Linked DNA regions of Sus scrofa. The protein of the gene in region 2 purifies or fractionates together with the protein of the main gene of each other region. This does not show direct contact. Links are inferred from orthologs where the notes say so. Each region holds a gene or a part of one and is shown on either strand. Other genes may lie near its edges.

What was found.
Region 1: the proteins of RFWD2 (region 2) and CUL4B purify together in Homo sapiens (affinity purification with western blotting; 4 studies listed by BioGRID and IntAct, with this or other methods). This does not show direct contact. The link is inferred for Sus scrofa from reciprocal best matches to the Homo sapiens genes COP1 and CUL4B.
Region 3: the proteins of RFWD2 (region 2) and STK40 purify together in Homo sapiens (affinity purification with mass spectrometry; 3 studies listed by BioGRID and IntAct, counting the BioPlex papers as one, with this or other methods). This does not show direct contact. The link is inferred for Sus scrofa from reciprocal best matches to the Homo sapiens genes COP1 and STK40.
Region 4: the proteins of RFWD2 (region 2) and ETS2 purify together in Homo sapiens (affinity purification with western blotting; 3 studies listed by BioGRID and IntAct, with this or other methods). This does not show direct contact. The link is inferred for Sus scrofa from reciprocal best matches to the Homo sapiens genes COP1 and ETS2.
Region 5: the proteins of RFWD2 (region 2) and ETV1 purify together in Homo sapiens (affinity purification with mass spectrometry; 4 studies listed by BioGRID and IntAct, counting the BioPlex papers as one, with this or other methods). This does not show direct contact. The link is inferred for Sus scrofa from reciprocal best matches to the Homo sapiens genes COP1 and ETV1.
Region 6: the proteins of RFWD2 (region 2) and MVP purify together in Homo sapiens (affinity purification with mass spectrometry; 3 studies listed by BioGRID and IntAct, with this or other methods). This does not show direct contact. The link is inferred for Sus scrofa from reciprocal best matches to the Homo sapiens genes COP1 and MVP.
Region 7: the proteins of RFWD2 (region 2) and RBX1 purify together in Homo sapiens (affinity purification with western blotting; 3 studies listed by BioGRID, with this or other methods). This does not show direct contact. The link is inferred for Sus scrofa from reciprocal best matches to the Homo sapiens genes COP1 and RBX1.

What each region holds. Positions count from the first base shown.
Region 1 is NC_010461.5:98,682,083-98,685,582, forward strand, and holds part of CUL4B (cullin-4B), read right to left. Parts: intron 1,755-3,500; coding exon 1,650-1,754; intron 1,018-1,649; coding exon 907-1,017; intron 448-906; coding exon 356-447; intron 1-355.
Region 2 is NC_010451.4:118,016,769-118,020,268, reverse strand, and holds part of RFWD2 (E3 ubiquitin-protein ligase RFWD2), read left to right. Parts: intron 1-1,319; coding exon 1,320-1,434; intron 1,435-3,500. UniProt on the Homo sapiens protein: E3 ubiquitin-protein ligase that mediates ubiquitination and subsequent proteasomal degradation of target proteins.
Region 3 is NC_010448.4:92,446,364-92,449,863, reverse strand, and holds part of STK40 (serine/threonine-protein kinase 40), read left to right. Parts: intron 1-107; coding exon 108-223; intron 224-3,500. UniProt on the Homo sapiens protein: May be a negative regulator of NF-kappa-B and p53-mediated gene transcription.
Region 4 is NC_010455.5:202,463,140-202,467,140, reverse strand, and holds the start of ETS2 (protein C-ets-2), read right to left. Parts: upstream 2,801-4,001; 5' UTR 2,573-2,800; intron 2,370-2,572; exon of another isoform or gene 2,351-2,369; intron 1-2,350. UniProt on the Homo sapiens protein: Transcription factor activating transcription. Binds specifically the DNA GGAA/T core motif (Ets-binding site or EBS) in gene promoters and stimulates transcription.
Region 5 is NC_010451.4:83,324,043-83,327,542, forward strand, and holds part of ETV1 (ETS translocation variant 1), read right to left. Parts: intron 1,613-3,500; coding exon 1,391-1,612; 3' UTR 1-1,390. UniProt on the Homo sapiens protein: Transcriptional activator that binds to DNA sequences containing the consensus pentanucleotide 5'-CGGA[AT]-3'. Required for olfactory dopaminergic neuron differentiation; may directly activate expression of tyrosine hydroxylase (TH).
Region 6 is NC_010445.4:18,070,048-18,073,547, forward strand, and holds part of MVP (major vault protein), read left to right. Parts: intron 1-42; coding exon 43-174; intron 175-1,085; coding exon 1,086-1,180; intron 1,181-1,442; coding exon 1,443-1,679; intron 1,680-3,500. UniProt on the Homo sapiens protein: Required for normal vault structure. Vaults are multi-subunit structures that may act as scaffolds for proteins involved in signal transduction. Vaults may also play a role in nucleo-cytoplasmic transport.
Region 7 is NC_010447.5:7,512,065-7,516,283, forward strand, and holds the start of RBX1 (E3 ubiquitin-protein ligase RBX1), read right to left. Parts: upstream 2,801-4,219; 5' UTR 2,226-2,800; coding exon 2,156-2,225; intron 1,715-2,155; coding exon 1,671-1,714; intron 1,244-1,670; coding exon 1,165-1,243; intron 1-1,164. UniProt on the Homo sapiens protein: E3 ubiquitin ligase component of multiple cullin-RING-based E3 ubiquitin-protein ligase (CRLs) complexes which mediate the ubiquitination and subsequent proteasomal degradation of target proteins, including proteins involved in cell cycle progression, signal transduction, transcription and transcription-coupled nucleotide excision repair.

The DNA.
Region 1 (3,500 bases), on a different chromosome or scaffold from region 2:
AGGGGTCCAATGGGAGCCATAGCCACCGGCCTACGCCAGAGCCACAGCAATGCAGGATCCGAGCTGCGTCTGCAACCCACACCACAGCTCACAGCAACACCGGATCCTTAACCCACTGAGCAAGGCCAGGGATCGAACCCGCAACCTCATGGTTCCTAGCTGGATTTGAAAACCACTGCGCCACGACGGGAACTCCTCATTGGTGTTTTTTTCCTCTACTGTGAATATCATCTAGGTTGCTATGAAGTATTTACAGCAAATACATGTTTCTATTGATCCTCTTCAGTACAAACCACAGCAAGGAGATAACTAAATACATTTTAAGTTCAAGGAATTAACTAAGAGTTTAACTCACTTTTACCTGTTTGAATTGAATCATGATGTCTTTAGAAAGTTCCATGTCTTTAAACATTCCTTCAAGTTTGCTGGTGAAAGCAGCTCCACATTCTATTAAAGATGTTTGTATATTTACAGTATTTTAAAGTGGTAAAAACAAAGAATTTAGAATAAAAAACATGAAATATAAAATTCACTTTAGCATGAAATATGACCTGTAACTACTCCTAAGAATAAAGAAGTCCTTACCCCAAAGTGTATGCCCCACTAATTCAGAATCAAATCTTTAATCCTGTAGTAACCTTATCTACTATTTAGGCATAAGATAAATGGGAAATTTTTATACAAATGCTAAAAATAAGATCAATGCTTTATTTTTTTAAAAAATCACAACAGCTCTGTTTGTGTAAATAGGTTGGAAACCTCATAAGCTTACTCACTTTATGTTTTCATCATACAAACATACAATGATTGACAAAAGAGACAACTGACTAAAAGAATAAAAATTAAGCTTAACATTTCCCCTCAGACATCAAAGAAGAAAAGGAACAGAAAGAATGACAAACATACCATGCTTAAGTTTGGACAGCATTGATTTTTCAGCATCTACAGATGCACTCTTTCCAACTAAAAGGCGCTTGGCTAAATCTTTCTTATAGAAGGCCTCAAAAACATCCTTGCCTATGTTAAATAATAAAACACAACTCTCATAGTAAATATTTCAACAAAAGGTTCTGAGAAAATTGCTTCAGAGTGCTTAATAACACCATTTCTCCAAGTTATTTAAATTTATACATTTACCCACGTCTGCTAAATACAAGAAACATTACAGGTAGATTTTTGTGCCAGACATTTCAAAAGCTCTTTGCTGTAAAGAATGAAGACTGAATCAACTTTTCTTTAGAAAAGCTTTAGTCGACTATTAGCTTTAGAATCAGTACTCTAGAGATTAAAACGAGTAGCAAAATTCAAGGTTTTTTTCCCCCACCCCCAACAGACACATGTGGAAGTTCCCAGGCCAGGCACTGAACCCAAACCACAGGAGCGACCTGAGCTAAAGCAGTGACAATGCCGATTCCTTAACCTGCTAAGGCACTAGGGAACTCCTCAAGGTTCTTTATAGTAGAAAAGTCAAAGCACAAGGCAATTAAGTAATATTCCTTGAGTATCCCAATAAATTAAATGCAAGAAATATTATAGAATTTTAAATATCTAACCCCCAAATAAATATACCTTCCAGGTTGATTATACTCTCTAGTTTCTCTGTTGAGTGTTTTGTTTTAAAAGAAAAATACTAAAACAAAAATACATACCATAGATAAATCTAAATATAATCATAATCTTATCCAACATTTTCTCAAGTTCTTCATCTGTAGCTTCTTTGTTTCCTGCACGAAGCTTTGAATCTACATACTTAGCTAAAATGGGGAGAAAGTTTATTGTTTAGTGATCATGAGCATCCATGAAGTACTGGTCACTATATATTCCTAAATAGGAGTATGATATACTGAGTTTTTCAACACTTCACAGGTATACATGCATTTTTAAAAAGTCTCCAAATTCAAGATCAAGTGACTTGTTTAATTTCATAGAGCTAATAAATACCAGAGGGTCAACTCAAACCCAAATCTTCTGGCTCCAGATCTAATGTACTTTCCACCATACTGATGCTTACTAGAATGGGGAATGGGTATCCGGCAGGGATACTCTGTGCTGGGGCTGTCAAAGCTCCTGAAAGACATGGCTCATCTTCTTGAGTATCCATTTTATACTGATGGTCGGCAATCTTAAACACCACTTTTTTCTATTTCTTTTTTTTTTTTCTAAAGCCACACCCACAGCACATGGAAGTTCCTGGGCCAGGGAGTAAATCTGAACTGCAGCTATGGCAACGCTGGATCTCATAACTCACTGCGCCAGGCCGGGGATCGAACCCACACCTCTGCAGCAACCCAAGCTGCTGCAGTCAGATTCTTAACCCACTTTTTATCAGAATTAAATTATCTACAATGAAAATAATCCCAAAATCATATTTTACATAGGTACACAAACTTTAAAATCTCAAAAAAATTAAAATAAAGCTGTTTTGAAGTCAAGAAAAGAAAAAAATAGTGATAAAAAACCCAGTCTGATACCATTCATCTATACCATTCATCTATAATCGCAGTGCACCACAGTAGGAACTCCTTATAAACACCAGTATTCTATTAAAACAAACCAGATACATTACAGAGTAGGAAGCAAAATTTGCAAATTTTAAGTGGCAGACCAACAAAATTTTACCCTTTTGGCAAAGAACCTTCTCGAGTACCTCTCCCATTGACATTAAGGGGTACCCAGTTAAGAAAAACTGAGAAGCACTGCAGTATACCATACCCTTTTCTCTAAATGGGCCCAGATTATTAGGTTTGTTTTCATCCTAGACATTATTCCTTTCTCATTAGCAACTATAATTTTTGCTATTTCCTGCAGCACAAATTTTGTGCTAATTCCTATAGCCCTATGTTTAGGCCTCTAGAAACAGCAAGCTGCCTCCACCTCTAAATTGCTGCAGGCTTGTAAAACAGCTATAAAACTTATTATAAAAGTAAATAGGGTCCCAAAGAAAGACCATCATGTTTGACATGTGGGCTTTGAGGTACTCTTTAGCTTGAAGGACTTATTCCTTGCATCTAGAGTCTTAGAAATCACCACCTAAGTAGAACAAACAATCCAAACATTTATATGGAACCACAAAAGACCCAGAATCACCAAAGCAATCCTGAGAAACAAAAACCAAGCAGGAGGCATAACTCTCCCAGACTTCAAGAAATACTACAAAGCCACAGTCATCAAGACAGTGTGGTACTGGTACCAAAACAGACAGACAGACCAATGGAACAGAATAGAGAACCCGGAAATAAACCCTGACACCTATGGTCAATTAAGCTTTGACAAGGGAGGCAAGAACATAAAATGGGAAAAAGAAAGTCTATTCAGCAAGCATTGCTGGGAAACCTGGACAGCTGCATGCAAAGCAATGAAACTAGAACACACCCTCACACCACGCACAAAAATAAACTCCAAATGGCTGAAAGACTTAAATATACGACAGGACACCATCCAACTCCTAGAAGAAAACATAGGCAAAACACTCTCTGACATCAACATCATGAATATTTTCT
Region 2 (3,500 bases):
TTAATTATCCTTCTTGACAGAAATAATTTCTATGTCTCTGTCAATGTATGTTTTCAGTTTTGGAAAATTGTCAGCATCAACTCTTCAGATACATTCATTTTGGTTAATTCTTTCAGATTTATCTTTCAATTTACAAATTCTCTTTTTATTCTCCAATTCTAGTACTTGTTCTTTTGTAGGTATTTGTCCCCAAATTAGATTATCCTCTCCTTCTTCCTCTCTCTCTATTTTTTGCAGTTGAATCTGCTTGTCCTTCAATTTAATTCAAGAATTTCCTTCTTTCTCTTTCTACTCTGTTATATCTTGTTTACTGTCACCTCTCTGAGTGCAGTTTACTGTTTGGCTGTTTATCTCTTTGGAATTTGACTCTTTTTCTTGTGATCCAAGCACTTCTTTAAAATATAATTCTTATTGTCTACTCTTAGAAGGAGTTTACTTTAGATAAATGTTTTATCTGTGTTACTACTATTAAGTTACTTTTTAATTAATTCAATGAATATTTAGGTAGTAACTGAAATATTATTTGTTAATTAAGAAGCAACTTAATATTTCTTAATGCATCTTAATACATTTTCAGTTGTGGTATGATTATTGTTAACTTGTGTCATCTCAGGGTCTCATTATATTTCTTATTTCTTCATCTGTTAATGTGCCTCAAGCGTAATAGGTGATAACCAAGCAAAGTAGGTAATAACCATTTGTGGAAGAATTGGCATACCTTTTAGTTAGCATGGAGTTGGTATTATATATTTAGGATCATAGACTTTTGTTCTTTATATGATTTTTATGCCAATGTATTTCAGATTTGTTGTTGCTATCAATATATATATATATGTATGATTTATTCTATTCTAATGTATATGTCAAACTTAGTACATATTAATGGCCCCTTAACCTAATAATATTAAGTACCTATTCTGTACAGTCAAGTGCTGTTCCTCTTATTCAAAAGGTATAGGGCTGCAATATAAGGAGATGAAAAAGTAATTAGTTTTCTCTTGGTAATTGTTTTCTAACAATTACTAAAAATTAAAATTCTCAAAATCCTAAGTTTTAGAATGTCATAATGGATTCTATCTTCATTTAATTTCGAGAATTGAAAGAAGCTTCTTATATTATTCTTATAAAATTGGGCTGTTTTTCCTTTAAAATAAGAATTGGAAAATATGTCTAATCACTATTGAGTTTTTAACAATTTGTAATTATTTTAGTGTGAACTTTTCAAATTACCAAAAATATGCAAGCATTTGGATATTCTGTGATGAAAGACAGTATGAATTATTCTAAGTTACAAGTGTCTTTTCTTGTTATCACCTTAGACAAAGAAACAGCCCTGGTATAACAGCACATTAGCATCAAGACGAAAACGACTCACTGCTCATTTTGAAGACTTAGAGCAATGTTACTTTTCTACAAGGATGTCTCGTATCTCAGGTACACATTCAGGACTTCTTAAGATATCTCAATTCCTATTTCCATATCCATATCTAGCCTCTTATGCTGGATTTATGGAAAGTTCTATTCGTAAAGTAAAAGTGTGCATTTTTGACATTGTGGAAGTTTTTAGACATCTTGGAGAACATTGCTTTTCCATAACTCTTTATTCTTTATTTGGGAATTTTTAATCTTTATATGGCAAGCTGAGTAAACTTAAAAAACAAATCAGCCATGAAGAGGTAGCTAGCAAAAATAAGTTCAATTCAGTTGCCTCCTATTATTCAACATATGTTAAATTCTAAGTATTGTCCTCTGTGCCAAGAATAAAAAAAGAGGAAAGAACTGGTATTGTCAAGGAGTATTGTAAATTTAGTGGGGGAAAGCAACAGGTAAATAAATCTATGTGATATTACATGTTATATAAGTGTGCAGAGGGCCCTAAGGGAATAGAGAAGAATATCTGCTATTATAACAGGGAGTGAAAAAACCAGGCCAAGCTGTAGACAGTGAAATGTAAGAGAGTGATTATGATTACTGTAGGGATTTCAGAGAAGTTGTATTTAGTCAGGGCTAGTATAACCTTAAAAAAGATAATTGGAAGCATACTCAAAGTAGAGGAAATAACTTACAAAAAGATTTGTACGTGATAGCGTATAATATTTTTGTTGCTACAGAAAAGTAGTATATTTCTGTGCCCTTTTGTTCTCTAATCTTTAGCCTTTCTTGGTGTCTTTGCTCACAAAGGAGGTAGGGCCATTTATACCCATCCTCCAGGGTTTTTTTTTTTTTTTTTTTTTTTTTTTTGATGGACTGTAGATGATGCATATAAAATACAATGCTTAGTATAATTTAGATTCTCAATTAATTGATGTCATTCATAGTAGACCTGCTTAAAATGAGGATGACCAAAGGAAAAAGATGTCTGATATTTTTTATTAATTGTTAAAAATTTGGCCTTGGTTTTCTCTTTAATAGGCATGTTTGTATCATGATCTTCACATTGCTTGTCACTTTTGGACAAATTTGCCTCAGGATTGGAGGTGGAGGAAAAAACATATAGATTTGCATAGTATTTTTCCTGTGAAGACTAGGAAGAAGCCAAGCTGTCTCTAAGTGTGTTTGAAATTAATAGTCAGTGGCTTTCCTACAAATAGAAAGCTTCTTTGTATTGTCTGAGAATTAAACCCCTTCTTAAACTTCTCTAATGGTCTGTAGTCTATGGTAGGAAGCTGTTAAATTGAAAGTGGTCTGAGACCTACATTCTGACCGGCAGAAAGTCCACAGTAGCCCTTTCAGATGTTGTTTGTCAGTATGATGTTGAGATACAACCACAGGCGAATGGCAGACATTTTTTTAAAAAAGAGAACGAGGTGGGAGAGAGGTTGGAGTAGGCTATTGATTAATAATTTTTAAATAATGAGCATAATTAATGCTCTGGGAGAGTAAAGATTAAGTGTGAACCAATTTAATTTATTTTGGGGATATAGCTTTATAGGAAGGTAAAGTTAAAACCAGGAGGAAGATTAGATTTTTATTTTTGTAGACAAGGCTGTATTGTACTTAAAACATGTTATCTTTAGTTTTTAGTCATCTCAAACTTAATCAGATATGCACATTGACTACACTAATCATATTACTGAAGTTCCCCCTAGTGTCCTTGACTATAAGGATAAAATTTAAATTTTTACGTAATGGGGTACCTAAGAGTTTGTCCTTTTGTATGTATGTTTTCAAATGAGAATCCAGTCCCCATCCCCAACTTTAAGTTTTAGCTATTAAAATGAGAGACGGAGACTAATAAATTAATGCCTTGATCTCTTAATTGTAATTGAAAAAGAAGCTAAATTATAAAGCATTAGAAGAGAGAAAAGAGACAGTGAAAACGGTTTTACAAACTAATCTGTAATTAGAATAGGAGAGGTGATAGGCCAGCATGTGATGTATGGGTATTGATCATAAACCAACCAACCAAACAAAATCCTACCTTTTCACAACCAGATAAATAAAAGTTAATCCCTATACTTTCAGATACTGAAATAACTATTTTTAGTGTTTTTATAATT
Region 3 (3,500 bases), on a different chromosome or scaffold from region 2:
GCCAGGAGCAGAAGAGGTTGTGGGTGTGATTCCTTTGCTCTTTGGACGAGGTTGGCGCGGCTGCGTACAGACACCGAGGTTTGCTCACCCTCTGCCTCCCTCCCCAGGACGCATCGGATAACCATCACCAACTTCTGCCTCGGGAAGCATCTTGTGAGCGAGGGGGACCTGCTGAAGGACCAGAGGGGGAGCCCGGCCTACATCAGTCCAGACGTGCTCAGCGGTATGTTCAAGGTGCCAGGCAGAGGCCCCGAGCCTCACGCAGCCAGGTTCTGCAGCCATTCATACAAGCAGGATCTGAATCAGACTGTGTCTGTGGGAGGGCCTGGGCCAGGTGCTGGGGTTTCAGTGGTGGCCCAAACCAGTGCTGTCCCTCCAGGTACAAAATCTGGGGTCTTATGCCAGAAAAAGCTGGTAATCATCACTAATTCTCTCTGAGATGAGCGCTTGGAGAGGAAGAAGCGCTTATCTCTGTGTGTGAAGAATGGGCGCTCAAAGGCCCTCCCTGGGGAAGTGGCCTCTGAGCTGAGATCCTGAGAATAAATGGGAACCTACTAGGGGCTGTGACTGGGCGGAGGTGGCACTGCACATTGGAGAAACCACCAGATGGCCCCTGAGATCGCTGCTCAGGAAGTTCAAGGGGAGGCCAGAGAGGTGGCTGGGGGTCCAACCACACGAGGCCTGATGGAGGCCTGTTTCGAGTACAAAAGGAAGCCCTTGACCAGGTCTTCACTGGGGTTACCGTGAAGAGGTTTGCATGTCAAAGACCTCACTCCTTCGTTCGTTCATTCACTTCTTCATTCTGCTGGTATTTACTGAGGGCCTGCCATGTACAAGGCTCTGTTGTAGACACTTTGGATACAGCAGTAACCAGGCAGACAAACATCCTGTCTCCGTGGATGGCGAGCTGGCTTTGCGGTGGGGCTGAGGCAGATAATACACAAAAGAAGTCAATCGTGTACGTGGTACCTGCCGACCCAACCGTGAGGTGCCGGGCGCTCTACTGAGAATATACCTTGCATCATCTGTTTAAAACCACACTGCTGCCCTGTGAGGTAAAATTTCTACAGATGAGAAAAACTGAGGCTCAGAGAGATCAGACCTCTTGTTCAAAATCATAGCTAATAGTAAACCAGAAAACAGGCTCTGTCCCAGGGCTGCCTCCTGCCCAAGCCCATGCACCTGTCTCCTCAGGCTTTCTCTTCTATCTTGCTTGTCCTTTGCCATATTGGAGTCCCTCCGTCCTCTTCCCTCCAGGGACCAGGGACTCACATCTGCTCCCATCCCTCCAAGGCGAGGGTCTCGGGGCTGTCCCCAGGGCCCGTTATCCCTGGCACTCACACTTGCGCTCCCTCCTCAGAGGCAGAACCTCCTCCCCAGGTGTGTGTCTTCCCGGGGAGCAGGCTGTGTAACTTGCCCCAGGCATTTGCAGTCCTCTTGGAGGCCTTCTCCCGGCTGAGGGTTCTGCCGGGACGCCAGGCCTCTCCCGTGGCTACCACCGCAGCGGGCAGTGGTGCCACTCTCCCAGCCTGGGGGTTTTGGTTGGAGTCACTCTGGCCTCCGCTAGAAGGATCTGGGTGCCAGGGTGCACCCCAACTCCCTGAGTACCCCTCCCCACCTGGCCCAGCCCAGCCTGGATACCCTCCATGAGAGTCCTGAAAGAAACTCTGTAGGTGACAGAGCCAGGAGGCTGGACCAGGTCCCCCCTCAGCCCAGAGCCATGCAGGCCTGGGAGTGGACGGGCTACTTCTGGTTGGGCCTCCTCAGCAGCATCAGGCTGGGGTAGCTGCTGTGTGCCGTCACTCCACCTTCCTCTCTGGTTCTTCCAGGCTCGTGCCAGTCTCAGAATGAAACAGAGGAACCCCCTGCATCAGAAAGAGACCCGGGCTCTGGACTGGCCTTGCTAATTACCAGCTGTGTGACTTGGCCTCAACCCCCTCTCTGAGCCTCAGGCTCCTCATGGGTTACAAGACAAAAATAGTCCTGCCTCCCCACGTCGTCAAGACGATGAAGTGGGCTGACTTAAGTGGGTTCTGATCCTGGGTCTGCAATTTCATTGGTTCTGTGTGCCAAGCACAGACTTCAGCACCAGGTGAAGCTCTGACATGGCAGGCCTGGCCTTGCTCTCACAGTTCATAGTCTGCTTAATAACTCCGCGACCTTGGGAATGTTACCCACCTCTCTGTGCCTCTCTTTTCTCATCCAAAAAATTGGGATGATAATAGCCCCACTTCAGTAGGTCCCTGTGGGATTAAGTAAGGCCTTAACCTAGTGCCTGGCTCAATAAGCATTAGCTGGCATTGTCATTATGCAAAGGAGAGCCTGAAATTCTGTGTTTCCTCAAAAGCCAAAGCTGCAGGGAAGGTCAGCAGATGGTTGGGGCTCCCAGGAGAGCTTGTCTGCTAGGCCGTTTACCGCCCCCGGGGTCAGGGCCGATGTGGCAGGTCTTGGCTCAGGCTGACCTGGCAGCAGTGCTCGTTCCTCCTTGGCCTGCAGTTCAGGCCTCTTGACAGGAACCACCTCACCTTCTAGCTGCTGCCAGGGACACACTGCACTTTGTGGAGCCATGCAGAGCTGAGAGGACTGGCCCAGTGGACTTGTGTTGGTGACCCTGCTCGGGGAAAAAGGGACTGCCCCCGAGTTGGCCTTGGGGTCAGGACACAAGGTCACCCAGGCTTCTCTTTGGCATTAAGGTTTGGAAAGGGCTGGGGGCCTTGCAGCCCCAGGGAAACCAGGCGAGAGGCTTGGCTCCAAGACCTGCCTGTTGTCCCGGGTTGGGCAGAAGTGTACAGCCCACAGTAGTGAGCTGTGAGGCCAGTGTCAGTGTCATCCCGTCCACAGATGAAGGAGCTGGCTCGGAGAAGGAGGTCCGTGGGGCCCCCAAAGGGCAGGCCGAACCCTGTGACAACACTGGTGTGCACATGAGCACACGCCCACCCTGTTAAACCTCCTGACCTTCAGTGGTCCTCGTGAGACCTTCAGCACCAGTGCCCCCCACCCCAAAGACCTCTCCAGCCACCAGAGAAGGGATGGAGGTGAGCTGGGCACTCCCTGGCATGCGGGGAGATGACACTGAGGCGCCTGGCAGCGCCCCTTACACACCCCTAGGAGTTGCGTGGTGTTCAGGGGTCTGGGCTGCCTTGGGCCTGCTGGCATACCAGGTGACACACTGTCCCACAGTCTGGGTGGCAAGAGCTTCTGAAAGGCTTGAGTTATTCTCCTGTTTCACATTTGGAGCAGGTCAGGCAGCAGCTGACATGTGGGAGAAGCTCTGCCGTCATGGGTGTGGATGGATGGATTGTCCTAAAAATTGGAGATCAGGGCTTTTGCAGTCAGCCGTGACCTTGGACAAGTGACATCCTTGTGCCTCATTGTACTCTTTGGAAAAATAGAAAATATCTAAATCATGGAGTCATAGATTTAATGAAGAGTGATTCTTGCAGCTCTCTCACGAGTAGGTGCTCCATTAAATGCCTGCTCCTCTCTGTTTCACAGCCAAG
Region 4 (4,001 bases), on a different chromosome or scaffold from region 2:
CAAGCCCCATGGGAGGAGGACAGCACAGTGACAGCCACCGGGGAGGCCCGAGGCGCTGGGGGCAGCTGTTACAGCCCTCAGAACGCAGGGGAATTTTCGTGGTTGCCAGTGGAGGCTGGAAGCTTAGACAATAAATAAGAGTGGGGGGTGAGGGTGGGGGTTGGGAGGAGGGATGGTCCTGGATCAAAAGGGATCAGGTTTGCTTAGAATCTCCCCTTGATGGATCGGACGGTGTCCTCCACAGGCCCTTAAGATCAGTACTCACTACGGATGATCGCTGCCCTGGCTAAGGGCTCAGCCTGAGCTGGACGATCCCACCAGCCCAGCTGGCTGAAAGGCCTGAGCCCTGAGAGGTAGATGTAACCTCTCACCGCGAGGCAACAAAGATCCAGAGACCTCAGGTGCCTGGCGCAGGAGGACGCAGCGACAGCAGGGGCATCGAAGGGGCACTGCGCAGACCCAGTCCCAGGCCGGTGATGGCCTTCCCTCCTTCGCTCCTCCAGGAGCCCAATTAACCCGAGGGATGCGGCCGGGGCCCTTCTCCCAGCTCATCAAAAAAAAAAAAAAGCAGCGATGGCACCCAAGTCTCATTAGACAAGGTTCCTGCTCGTGAGACTTTACTACCTGAAATGCTCCTTAAGGTTCATGGAACTTTCTGCCATTTATCTGGGTCGACTACGTCCTGTCACCTGCTGATGACATTCACAAGCTTCAAACAGGAGCCGAATGAAAGGATGTGGACAGTTATCCATCTTCTTCGTCCAGTTTTATCCCACACTTCAGCTTCGCAGAGAATGGACGTGGAGGGCAATGGACTAAGCCTCGCCTGGTTTTTGTGTACAAACACCAGGAGGAAAGGCAGTCTACCCCTCCCACACAGAGAGCTGTAATTACTAGCTACAGAATAGAATTCTTTTGTTGTCCAGCTTTTAATTTGTTTTGTAAAAACCATGTAGAATCAAAGCGCGCTACCAATGGTTTCTGGCAGACACATAACTAATCAAATTTAAGTTCCCGTCTTTGACTCCACGAGGCCAGTCAAGGTGGCAGACAGGCCAAGTTTCTCCACATCCTAAGTCAATTTCACATTTAGGTCTTTTGGGGGGGGGGTGCCCTCCTGATTGTTGCCTTTGAACTACAACAACACAAACGGGAAATGGCAGCCACGAAAGGGCTGAGAAGGATAACATTTTTAAACAAGCAAAACTTGCCGGCCAACGGTACCCTCGGGGGACAAGTGATTCCTTCTGCGAGATTAGAACACGGGTTTGTATTTCGGTAAATTTGAGGAGAAAAGAAAAGAAAAAGAAAACCTCAAAACGCACTTTCGAAGATTGATTTGCTTTTTCCTTTGAAGGTTATCAATTTATAGAGTCAGGAATGACTAATTCCCGAAATGAGTGTTCAGCTATTTTCCTGCAGGACCCAGAGCGCTAACATTTATTGTACTGTGATATTATTCAGAATTTTAATAAACCTTAACTGGGAGATTTCTCTCTCTGATCGGCGGTGGTGTGGGCAGGCACAGGGCGCACAGGCGCTTCCACTGTGCGGAACAAACATCATCTCTCAGTGGTAAATTAAAATAAATTACCTCTCAATCCAAAGGGGGGACTGGCTCACTTCTTTACTTTCTAAATAAGTCGCACGTCAACTACTATTTTAGGATACCCTATAATTGAATACAGGATAATATAAAAAAATCTCTTGTGCTTTAAAAAACACACACGCACAATCGCTGTTACCTCTTCATCTAAAATGCTGTAAGAACCGGGAAAGGCAGCTTGGCGCACCTACATCCCCACTTCCGACTGGCTCCCCAGGTTCGCCTAGCAGGACCGAGGGCCCGAGATATAGAGGACCTGGGGCGCCCACGGGGGTCTCGCTCGAGCGCCAGGACCCTCCCGGCGCCTCCCTCGCCCGCCGCCCCGGCCGGGCCCTGGACGTGGCGGAGCAGGTGACCGGGGGGTTGGGATCCGCCTGTTTTCGGGGATCCGTAGCTTCCAAGGTGTTTCATGCGCCCCTAGACCCCGATCTGCCCGGGCCCGGCGCCCTCCAGTAAGTCACCCACAAACCCGGGCGCGCCGGGGCCCCTCCGACACCCTCTCCGGCGTCCCCCAGCCCCTTCGCGATATCAGGTCTCCCAGGCGCCCACTGGCAAGGGCCCCCCACCACGCCCGCGTTTCCTTTTAAGACAAAAGCAAGTGAAACAAGTCGGCGCGCCCCGCCCGCCCCAGCCGGCTCGGCGACCCCAGAACCGCGGCCCAAGTTCGCAGCCGGCTCCGCGCGTCATCGCCGGGCCCACTCCGCGCCCCACTTGCCGCCCCCAAAGCCACTGGGCCATCCATACCACGAGCTGAGCGGATCGGATCTCAGAAGCGCGACCCCTGGATCCTAGGAATAGCCGCCACCCCTCCGGGACCCCGGCTGCGCCCTGGGATCCGGCTCTCCGCGCCACCCACGTCCTCCACGCCGTTTCTGGATCCCTCGGCAGAGGAACCGGGGCCCGGAGGGCGCTCCCCGCCGGACCTGCCGGACCCTGGCCGCCCACCCGGCCCGACCCTGCTCTTACCGCGCCGCTTCGGGCAGGGCGGCCGGCGACTCGGGGCCCGGACTCCTCGGTGCGCGCCGGGGAGGGCGCGGGCGGCGGGGCCGGGACGCGGGGAGGGCGCTCGGCAGGCCTGAGCCGGCAGGGAGCGGCGGGCGGCGGGCTCCGGGAGCTCAGGGCTGGGGCGATACCGCGCTCCGCGCCGCCGCTGGAGGAAGTAACTGGCCGGTCCCCTTCGCTGCGCGCTCTTCAGGAGCCGGGGGAGGACGGAGGAGGGAGGGGAGGCGACCGCGGGGAGGGGAGGAGGGGGGCGGGGGAGGGGAAAGGCGAGAGGGGAGGGGAGAGGGGAGGAGATCGGGAGGGGAGGGGTGGGGGTGGAGAAGGGAGCAAAGTCGCGAGAGGGCGGGAGCAGGGGAGGGGGGAAGCCGAGGGGAGGGGAGCGGAGTGGAGGCGGGGGGAGGAGAAGAGCAGGGGGCGGAGCCAGTCCTTCCAAGCCCGGCCTCGCTCGGCGCCCGCTGTCACTGGGCTCTGTCCCTTGCCTGCGGTTCGGGGGGCCGTGGTGGGCCGGGGACCCCGAGGACTCGAGCCCTGTGTGTGTCCCGGGAGCTCAGAAGGAGAGTCTTTCTTTGGTTTCTTCCGCTGGTGCGGAGACTTTAACACCAAAACCTGTCCTGGCAGGACTGGAGCAGTGCTGGTGCCACCGAGCGGCCACAGGGCTTGGGTCATAAGGGACTATTTCTGGCCCAATTCTTGGACCTCTTCGTGGACTTCTGACTCTTCTGTCCTGAAAAGACACTAAAAGACATGATAGACGTACAAGGTGGGCCCTTTTCTGGGTCACAGAGCGCCCCTCTGCTCCGGGAAGCCCTGTTCCTACCGCCTCCGAGGAAGTGGCGCCCCCTAGAGTTGAGCGGTGTCTTAGTAGGAACCAGCCTTTGAAAGAGCTTCCCTGGGCTCATTCTCAGGATAATTGTCCTCACATTAAACATGAGGGAATGGGCCCTTTGGGTAAATAACTTGCCGAGTCATAGGACGTGTGAGTGGGAAATTCAGGGTTGAAACTCCAGGCTATCTGACTTCCAACTATGGTCAAAACCGTCACCCTTCCCCCCCAGAGTTTCCATTTTTAGCAGGAGATACTTGAGTCCATGGCTAGAAATGCACACATTTCCTATTCAGATTCCGGTCACATTCTCAGTATTTATTTATCTATTTATTTATTTGTCTTTTCTCTCTTTTTCACGGCACCGGCGGCATATGGAGATTCCCAGGCTAGGGGTCCAATCGGAGCTGTAGCTGCCAGCCTATGCCAGGGCCACAGCAACACTGGATCCGAGCCGTGTCTATGACCTACACCACAGCTCAGGGCAATGCCGGATCCTCAACCCACTGATCGAGGTCAGGGATGGAACCTGCGCCCTCATGGATGCCAGTCAGGTTCGTTAACTGCTGA
Region 5 (3,500 bases), about 35 Mb from region 2:
CAAAAGTTTCCACAGTTCCCCTTAGCAAACTGAAGCTCACTCTTCATTTTGTCAATGTGTATAAAAGCTGCTTATAGCATAGCATGGCATAAGCTACTTTTTAAGCAATAAATGGTTCGAGTCATCTATTTTGTCCTGAAATGCTACCTGTAGTTAACTGCATTGCTTATAAATGGTCATAGTAATTTCAGCGTGAAAGAGAGTATTACAGAAAAGACAGCAGCAGAAGCATTAGCATTATCTAATATTTATATATGTTATCAACATAACACAGCAGTAAAAGATTTAAATGCATATCAATGGGTACCATGTCTAAAAATTACTATAGTACCTATTTAGTGTATTGGATATTTTTCTTAAAGAGTGCTTGCTGTATCTAGAACAGCATATTATGTGATTTAGTACAGTTAATTCTTATTGATTAAATAATGTCTTTATGTACTGAAGGAAGTGAAAGGAGACAGAGATTTTTTACTTCATTGTGATCCCAGATTTAACATTTAAATGACAATCTCAAAGGACCAGGAAAAATATCATTACTTAATTGAAATGGCTTCAAAATATTTAAACGACAGTATGATTTGTATCTAAACAGCAAGGTGGCACCAGATACATGTACTGCTACTGGCCTGTGACTCAGTTGGGAGCCAGAGTCCAAAACTGTGCCCCTCATTTACAGTCATGTTAATTATTTCAACTTCAGAGAGAATTACCCCATTTTATGGTTATCCTCTGTGAGTCATACATAAAGCAAAACAAAACAAAAAAACAGCAAATGCAATCTCTAAATACCTTTTTACAAGAGGTTCAAAAACAGTCATTTCTAACAATTAAACTGCCTTTTACAGTAGTTTTTTTGTTTGTTTTTTGTTTTCTTTCTTTTTTTTTTCTTTTTTTTTTTTTTTTTTTTTATTTGTATACCTTGCGGAGACTCAGAAAAGACAGGGGAAAATGCCCAAGGCAAATAGTCTCCAAGTGGATATTTACACAATGTGAATTAACTGTACCATAGATACCCAGAGGAAATGAACATTTTCTATGTTGTTATGAAATCAAATAAACATGATATAGCTTCATCATACTTTAAAACCTGTAGGACCCCATCCCAAGCCTAAGTAAAAAGTAATCCCCAAATCCCCCCTCCCATTCACCCATTATCTTCCTGTTACACAGAATAAATGTTTAGATCACTCCCACCCACCCTCAAATAAAGTGCACAGTCCATGGCAGACCATAGAATAATGCAACAGGAAAAGCCCCTTTTTGTGTATTATTATTTAAAAATAAAATACAAACAACAAAAATCAAACAAAGATTGAAGAGAATTCAGAGATTCTCTGCATCTTGCAAGAGAGGAAAAGCGCGAGGAGGCCCCTGACTGTCACTTCTGTCAATACACGTAGCCTTCGTTGTAGGGATGGGGGTTGCAGCAGCCCCCTTCTGGCATGTAGGCCATGCTCTCGTCAAAGTGAGACAGAGGCACCGTGTCCTCTTCATTGATATGACGCTCCATGTCCGTCTTCAGCAGCGGGCGCTGATTATCTGGAAAGGCCATGGAGAAGAGGGCTTCGGGGTCACACACAAATTTGTAGACATATCTCTCTCCAGCCACCTGCAGAAAACATGTAACAGAAAAGCCATCCTTATGTAGGTGCTGGCTGGGAACCAGACTTAGTGTTGTGAGCATTTTGCAATAGATACAAATATCCAATCATTATGTTGTGCATCTGAAACTACTATAAGGTTGTATGTCAATTATACTTCAAAAAAAAAAAAAAAAACCCTCACATTCACTATCCCTAGGGGAAGGGCAGGGAAAGAAATGAACAAAAACATAGTTTAATACACCAGAAAGGATGGCTAACAAAACAAAGTAACTAAGCACTAACAGAGATACATAGGGGGAAAAAAATCCTCTATTTGTAGGGTAAAATGGTTCAATCCAGGCAAATGCAAAATGTTGAGCTCAAGTAATAACTACATTTATTCCAGATATAGCTAGAAAGCTTATCAGTTTGCTTGTTTCAATACAAATGTAAACTTACATTGTTATCTGGGGGAAAACACCAATGATTTCATGTAGGCATCTCACTTTGAAATGTCTTTCCCTCTGCTTTAAAGGGTAATATCTAAATTACCTGATAAAATAATCAGGTCTTTAAAGTGTAGTGTCTCCCTCTTAACATTACATTTCTAAAACTGCAGAAAAACCAAACTTCCCAACCATAAAAGAAAAATGTATTGTGTTCCTAATAAGGCTAGTCGATTCACTGATTCACAGGGTGAACTGTTCTTTTTCTTTACTTTTTAAAAAATTTCCACTGTATATTCTCAGCTAAAAAAAAGATACATAGCCTTATTTAAATGAAAGATGGATCAGGAGGGTAGCATTATCTTGGGTACATCACTTTAAAAAATGAAAGCAAGATGCATTAGACAGAAGTTAAGGATGTGTATAAAGTGTCAAATTGAAGCAAGAGGTGTAAAAAAGTGAATTTAGAATACACAAGGCATAGGGAGGAAATAAGAAAAAGAAATATGACAGCTGCCTGAAATAAAAGGAGAAATAGTGTAATTTGTAGGAAATGACATGCCCCAAACTTAAATTTTGAAGAGTAATGCTTCTCTAGGAAATTAGAAATAACTGAGTGACACAAATATTGCCCCACCCCTGCTGGCAGTAGCAGACAATGCTGAGCTTCTCCAAACCTCAGGGGGGTGAGGGAGGATGGGGCAGGATAAATACAGTTCTTTGTAGCAATTTTTTGTGTATATGTAGAGTTCAGTAATTTTAGAAAGTGAAAATCAACTCCTCTGCTAGTTGCTGTGTGATGCGGGGGATGGTGAGTTCCTTATAAACTATCTGTGTATGTTTGGAAAGAAAAGAAACAACTACCAATGGGCACTTCTGTTATGGAAACAGATTTAGAACGTTTTCTGGCCTTGATTTTCTTTTTTTTTTTTAACTCTGCAAGAGGAACCAATTTAGAGAATCCAAATACTCTGAATATCCTTAGCCTTAAAAACAGCCGATACTTAGTTTTTATGAATTTGGACATGTTTCTTAAAATGCCCTCAGTTCTCCTTTTTTTTGAAAGGGAGGCAGGAATGGCTCCTTAAAAACTTATTGCAAGACTGTAATGGAAGTCTCTAGCACAGTGTATGGCAGACAGAGGGATCTGGCATAAATTGATTCACTTTAGTCCTTTATAAAAAGGAAATTAAGTTCACAGAGGTGAAATGGTGAAACTGCCATAAAAGTAAAAATAAGCCATGTCAGAAACAAAGCTAAAGATACTAAATCCAAGTTTCCCTTTTTTTCTTTGTTCAAAGAATTTTGAGGAAAAAAGTAAAACAAAGAGCCTGCATACCTGGGAGCATTTAATAACCTGCTTTGTTTTGTTTGCGGCTGCCGAGAAGTAGGCATTTGCTGTAGGCTAATGGAACTTTTTTTGTCTAACCTGTTGCTATTGGTTTTAATTACAAATGGCTTGATAACT
Region 6 (3,500 bases), on a different chromosome or scaffold from region 2:
ATGGCTTCGATCTTCAGCTTCCACGTCGTCTTCCCTTCCCAGGCACGTATGTTCCCCGGAAGGAGGTGGAGGTGGTGCAGATCATTCAGGCCTCCGTCATCAAGCAGAACCAGGCCCTGCGGCTGAAGGCCCGCAAGGAATGCTGGGACCGGGACGGCAAGGAGAGGGTGACAGGTGGGGTTTTGGAGGGGCGCCGATGTGGGTGGGGCAGGCCGTGTGCCCCGACTGCAGGGGAAGTGGGGAAGGTTGGGGAAGCTGCTCGCAGCCTGGAGGAAGTGCTTCCTGGTGTCTCTAATAAGCTGTTGGGGGCTGCCCCCTGCTGCTTCCCCCACCCACCGCCCTCACCCGCCTGTTGCTCCACCCTGGCCCTGATTCTGTGACCACAATCATGTTGACATGGCTTTGCCTTCCTCCTACCCTTGGCTGGGAGCTGGGAGCGGCAGCCGTGTCTCTTCCCACATCAACAGAGCAGGTGTCCACGTACAGGAGCAACGGTGCTTGACAAATGTGATGTATTAACCAAAGTCTTGACAAAGGCCGTGCTTACTCTGCGCCGGGTGTGGTTCAAATGTTTTGCAAATGGTGGTAACTTCCTTATGCTTCCAACCACCCTGAGGCCCCACGATTCCCATCTGCCATATGGCATAGCCACAGCTTGGGCGCTTGGAAGGGCCTTTTTTTTTTTTTTTTTTTAGGTTGGTTTTCTTCTGCCCTCAAAAAAGAAGGAATAGGAGCTCCCGTTGTGGCTCATCAGATTAAGAACCTGACTAGTATCCATGAGGATGTGGGTTTGATCCCTGGCCTTGCTCAGTGGGTTAAGGAGCTGGCGTTGCCCATGGCTGCAACATAGGCCAGCAGCTGCAGTTCCAGTTCAAACCCTAGCCTGGGAACCTCCCTATGCCAGGGGCTCAGTCCTAAAAAGACCAAAAAAAAAAAAATCCTGCCAGGCCTTTGAGCCTGGGAGCAATGACATTTGAAAATGGCCTGTGAGGTCCTGTGGGTCCCCTGTTGTCTAGGCTGCGGGAGGGGGCAGCTGGGGAGCAGGCTGGGTGACCTTTGACCCTTGCCTCTCCGCCCTGGCCCAGGAGAAGAATGGCTGGTCCGCTCCGTGGGTGCCTATCTCCCAGCAGTGTTTGAGGAGGTTCTGGATGTGGTGAATGCTGTGATCCTCACAGAAAAGGTTTGTGCTCTGGGGGTGGGGGGCACCTCGGGGTAGGAGCTTCTCAGGGTGGCAGAGAACAGTGGCAGGTGATGTGAAAAATAGGAGTTAATCCCAGGTCGCCTGACAGTGTTTAGGGAGTCCTCCTGGGTCGGTAGACACTGTCACTCAGACCTGGAGCATTCAGCGGCCAGTGGGGTCCCCAGATCCCCCGAGGAATTGGAAGTGGGTTTCCCCAACCTCCACCCCCACCCCACCAACCGGCCGCGATCCTGCTCTACAGACAGCCCTGCACCTCCGGGCCCGGCAGAACTTCCGAGACTTGCGGGGAGTGGTGCGCCGCACGGGGGAGGAGTGGCTGGTGACTGTGCAGGACACGGAGGCCCACGTGCCAGATGTCTATGAGGAGGTGGTAGGCGTCGTGGCCATCACCACCCTAGGCCCCCACAACTACTGCGTGATCCTCGACCCCGTCGGACCAGATGGCAAGAACCAGCTGGGGCAAAAGCGTGTGGTCAAGGTGAGTGCCAGCGCCCCGGGTTGGGCCTAGGCCCCGGGCCTGCTCCCCGCACCCCCCTCCCGCCCCCAGTCTGCTTTGGAGAACCACCAAGCTTGTTTTGGCTCCCTCTGGACACACTTGGCTCTGTCGCTTGAGACGCCGTGTCACTGATGCTCCGGCAGTTCCCAACCTCGGGTTCCGCACGGCCTCTCCCGGGAGCGCCTCCCTCCAAGCCCAGAACCCGTCTCACCTCCCTCTGTTCCAGAAGCTTAGTCATCCTGAGTAAAACCAGTCTCTCGGCTTCCCCTTTCCCCATCCTCCCCGTTCTCCTGTCTCTGGACTGTGTGTGGGACAGCGGAGGGGGGCAGAGCGTCCCTGGGACGACTGTACATAGTTAAGGCTTCGCGAGCCACGTGGTTTCTGTGGCAACCACTCAGCTTGGCTGTTGTACCATGAAAGCAGCGTAGACAGGCTTGTAAACAAAACAGTGCTGCTGCGTTCCCATAACATGGTATGTGCAAAAACAGGCAGTGGAAGAAGTCCCTTCGTGGTTCAGTGGGTTAAGGGTCTGGCGTTGCCCCAGCTGTAGCACAGGCCGCAGCTGTGTTGTGGGTTCAGTCCCTGGCCCGGGAACTTCCACATGGCCATGGGTGCAGGCCCCCCAACCCCCCGCAAAAAACAAACAAAAAAGGAAAACAGGAGGTGGAAAACAATAGAAACCACCCAAATGTCAATTGATGAATGGATTAAAAATAGGGAGTTCCCGTCGCGGCGCAGTGGTTAACGAATCCGACTAGGAACCACGAGGTTGCGGGTTCGGTCCCTGCCCTTGCTCAGTGGGTTAACGATCCGGCGTTGCCATGAGCTGTGGTGTAGGTTGCAGACTCGGCTCGGATCCTGTGTTGCTGTGGCTCTGGCGTAGGCCAGTGGCTACAGCTCCAATTCGACCCCTAGCCTGGGAACCTCCATATGCCGCGGGAGCGGCCCAAAGAAATAGGAAAAAGACAAAAAAAAAAAAAAAAAAAAAAGGTATATCCATACAGTGGATATCAATCAGAAGAATGATAATCTTTCTGGGGTTAAGGGTGCCCATGTTCTTAAAATAAGGCAAACTTGTAAAAAAAATTAAAAAATGAAGTTCTTGGAGTTCCCATCATGGCTCACTGGTTAACGAACCCGACTAGCATCCATGAGGACTGGGGTTTGATCCCTGGCCTCACTCAGTGGGTTAAGGATCCAGCGTTGCCGTGAGCTGTGGTGTAGGTTGCAGACGCAGCTCGGATCTGGTGTTGCTGCGGCCCTGGCGTAGGCTGGTGGCTACAACTCCGATTGGACCCCTGGCCTGGGATCCTCCATACGCTGTGAGTGCGGCCCTAAAAAGACAAAAAAAAAAAAAAAAAGAAAGAAAACAAGTTCTGAGATGTGCTACAAGATGGGGTAAGCTTGAAAGCATTGTGCTGGGGCAGTAGAAGCCGGACATAAAAGACCACATACTGCCTGATGCCATTTATATGAAATGCCCAGAATAGGTCAATCCATTAAGACACAAAATAGATTACTGGGCGGGATAGGCAGTAACTGCGACTGGGTGTAGGGTTTCTTTTCAGGATGATGATCTGGGATTTGGGGGTAGTGATTTTGGGCAACTCTGCATATACCAGAGCAACTGGATTACAGACTTGCTTTTTATTGTTTTTTTGTCTTTTTAGGGCCGCCCCCGCGGCATATGGAGGTTCTCAGGCTAGGGGTTGAATCGGAGCTACAGCTGCCAGCCTACACCACAGCCACAGCAACTGGATTACTGGATTTGTTTTTTACACATACATATAAAATCAGGCAGCA
Region 7 (4,219 bases), on a different chromosome or scaffold from region 2:
GGGGAGAAGAGGCGGTGAATATTCCAGTAGGGGGAACAAGATATGTAAGAGCTCTATACAAGACCACGGATAGTTCCAGAATAGAAGGAAAGCCAGGGTACTACCAGAGTAAGGAGAGTGGCTCGAGATAAAGCTGAAGAGGCACGTATGTGGTTTTCAAAATAAGTTAAAATTTCAATTCTAGAACGTTGAAATTTCTTTGCCCTATTTCTTTCGTGTGTGTGTGTGTGTGTGTGTGTGTGTGTGTGTGTGTGTTTAGAGTCATACCTGTGGCATATGTAAGTTCCCAGGCTAGGGGTCGAACCAGAGCTGTAGCTGCCAGCGCACGCCATAGCCACAGCCACACCAGATCTGAGACACTTCTGTGACCTACACCACAGCTCACGGCAGTGCCAAATCTTTAACCCATTGATCAAGGGCAGAGATCAAACCCCCGTCCTCATGGATACTAGTCGGGTTTGTTGACCACTAAGCCACGACGGGAACTCTTCTTTGTCCTCTTTCTGATCTCAGTAACAAACCATTTTAGTAACTGAATAAAAAGTAACCTCAACTGCTCCTGGTGTGATCAATAATTCTTGCCCCTAGTACTACAGAAATACTAAGTCCATTAACAGCTATAATTAAACCTACTGTGTGCTGACCACTATGTGTAATGGACTATATGGAAATTTAAATGAAATTTTCTTAGAGCAATTAACTACCTATTTAGATGTTGGCAGTGATGTTAACTACATTTGGGGCTAACACTGAAAATGCATACTCCTTAGACCTCTTCATAAATCTTCCCCAGCAAACATTTGCTCTGCTAGGATATTTTAGCTCAAAGTTAATTTTCTTTCTTTCACTATTTTTGCCTTTAAGTCTGGGTGCAAGATGGGAAATGGAGAAGAAATAATCAACAGTACCTCTGTGCCCGCAATTCATTCTAAATGTGGCCTTATCTTTAGATTGAATAGCCTTATTCTGAGAGATGGATATGCCTTCAGGACACCCTAAAAAAATTACTTTATTTCAAACATACCAACACACCAAATGCAGAAGTCCCCAAGTGCTAAGAATATACTTTATCTTTCCTCGTGAAGAAGAAAATTGGTCACATCAGGATAGCTGCAATCTCTGTAACCTTCTCAAACTTCCTCCCATCCTCCTCCAATTACTTACAAAGATCCATAATGTGGTTCCTGCAGATGGCACAGTTATCAACCACAATATCCCAGGCCCAGAGGGCTACTGCATTCCACTGCAAAGAGAAAAAGGGGGAACAATGCATGCTACTCTTTTAACACAAGCGCACACGCGTGCACACACACACACATACACATACACACACACACTCCAGGATTTCATCCTGTAGTTATCACCTTTTTGGCCACAAAGACCACCAAACAAGAGTTTCTGGATGTTACATGACTCTTTTTTTTAAAATTATATCAGAGAGCATCAGTAGGCTACACGTATGCTTACCCATTCTCTAAACTGTCAACTATATAAACACAAATGAATATCATCTTTTATTTTTTCCTACAGTTTAATTTAGTCAGCCATATCAATATAAATAAATCAGGAATAATTTATAAGTGTCGGTTTTAGGTCTAATAATCACAAACTTGAATTACTGTGCAGGTTCTCCTGGCAGTTGCAAAAGAGCTCAATTTCTGCATAAATACCTGCTCTTCAAGGCAGCTTTTACGCAGGAATGGACAGGTGAAGGCTAGGAAGAGAATGAACTAAGATGTTGATTGGATCATAAAACGGGTAATCGTAGGATAAGCTGGATAACTACCCAGTGTGAGTCCATAGAACAAGGTCATCGCTTAAATCTTATAAGATTATTTCACAACAAACTCTAAAATTCACTGGAATTTCGTATAGTTCCTATCATCAAATAAGCTGATGTTCTCAACTTTTATATGCTCAGACTGTTATATTTAGCTAGGATAATTTCCTTAAGAGTTTATCTAAAAGTGGTATTTCAATAATTCAACCTCTGGCTTCTGCAATAAATATTCCCAAACTCCCTTTCACCCCCTAATTTGGTGACACGTCCCAAACCTTCATCTCCTTCAAACCTAATTTTCAATGTCTAGCAACTTCTTCAACACTTTTCACCGACAGCTTCAACTTGGAGGAAAGAAGAAAAAAAAAATCTTACTTCTATTCTTCAATATGGCTGCTGGCTGTAACTGAGCATGCAGTGCCCACAATGAAACGCCAAAACGCATTAGACGGGGGAATACCGTCAGGGTTTAGCTAGATGTTCCAGGGATAAAATCTTCCCTATTTGGAATCTTCATTTTGGACAGATTTGTTTTATCTAATGTGGGATGGGCACTTTTCTCCCAAACTGCTGGCAAATCACTGTAAGGCATTTCATGCAAAAAGACACGTTCCACATTTCTTCTTTCCCACTTTACCAGGTTGTTCGCAACTTGTATTCAACCCTCCCTACTTGAAACAATACTTGGGCTCCGTTTTCTTTTTAACAAATTCCACCATGCCTTTTTTTTTTTTTTTCGGATGGGGATTCTGGATATGACCGCAGGACTGGGGCGGCTGTGTAACAAATCAACAGACCTTTCAGAAGAGCCAAGAGTTACACTCGAGAAACTAACTCGGCAGGGGCGAGGGCCAGAGAGGGCTAATGGAGGCCTCGATTAGGCGAGGACCAGGTCGAGGTTCCTCAGAGGGACCCCAAGCTTTGGATAGGGGCGGGGCACGGAGATCACTAGCCCGGTCCTCAGAAGCCTCCAATGCGGTAGGACCTCAGGTTCCCGGCTTGGGCCGTACTGTCCCATCCTCCACCCACCGCAGCCCTCGACTCCCCCTTCCACCCGCCCCACCCTCGCCTTCCCCACCCCTCCACCACTCCAGTGACAGCTCAGGCGCTTGGCTCCTGCATCCAAGTCGCAACCCCGCGCATCTCAATAAGCACCTCCGTGATTGGCCCCTCAGCCTCCGAGCGAAACCAACACTGGCACTGACAGTGGGCCGCAGTCACGCCGATCAACCCTAAGACCCGCCTCCCGGCTTCCTTTGGTGGTACCCGGTCCCCGGAACGCCCTGAAATGAAGCCCTTTCCTCCGCGCCTTGGTCATCCTGGGCCTGCCAGCCAGATCCGCGCCTCTCTAGTTTCCCTGAGGAAGGCGCTGGCGAGACCCAACCTTTTTCACTTCAAAGCGCTTCTTGCCCGCGCCGCTGTTGGTGCCGCTCGGGGTATCCACATCCATCGCTGCCGCCATTTTGGAAACACACGATCTGTCGTCTCGTTACTGCGCCTGCGCGCCAGCGCACGTCTCACTCCCCCTCCCGTCCGGACACCTCCTCCCGCACCCCACCCCTCACTGGCGCGCGAGGGGCAAGTGGGGGCGGAGCGTGTGGCCACGCCTCTTAAAGGCGCTGGTGCTGGTTCCCCCCGCCCCCCACTCTACCCCGCGTCGGCTGGGAGGAGGCGGTTGCCGGAGCTGCTGGGGCGGGGCCGGGCGGGGCCGGGCCGACGCGAGAGAGCCGGGTGGAAATGTTCGAAAGGACTCGCTCTCATCGCCCTTCCTCGGGAAGCCCCCGGCCTCACTCCCTCCGCAGGGGCGGCGGCTGTTTCCTCCGCCTCGGCCGCGACCTGCAGCCCGCGCACAGCCTATCCTTCCCCGCCGCCGCGCAGCTCCAGTGCCCGCGGGTCCTCGTCGCGTTCTTCCGGGGAAAGGGCGAGGGTGGGCGTCCCGCCTCCTGCTGCGGAAACCCAAGACCTCACTCTTAGTGGTCTTTCTCAGATCCTGACCCACTTCTGAGCCCGGCCTGAGGTCCTAGCCTCCTTGGGCCATAGCACCTTTCCAGCCAAAGCACCTGTGCTTTCTATCACCTTCCCATTTGTAGACCACCTCTCCACTTTTTTTTCATCTCTAATCTTGCAGAGGTATGACTGCTAGATCACTCTTAAATCTTGTATTGGCTTATTTGAAATCTCGTATCTTCTCTTAAAAGAAAGCTGAAGAGTAATGGATGGTCTTGACTCCACTGTTAAACCAGAAGTAGGGTTTGTTTCCTTGTCTTAATTTTAAACAGGAAAACAAATCTGTGAAAACGCCGCAGCTTTAACCGGAGTAGAGAGAGAAGACTTGTGAGAGACCTTAAAGTTTTAGTAGGAACACTACCAAGTTTTTCTAAGACCAAGTTTTGTTAAATGAATGATTCCATATCAAGAGTTCTGTCATCTAATTTATTG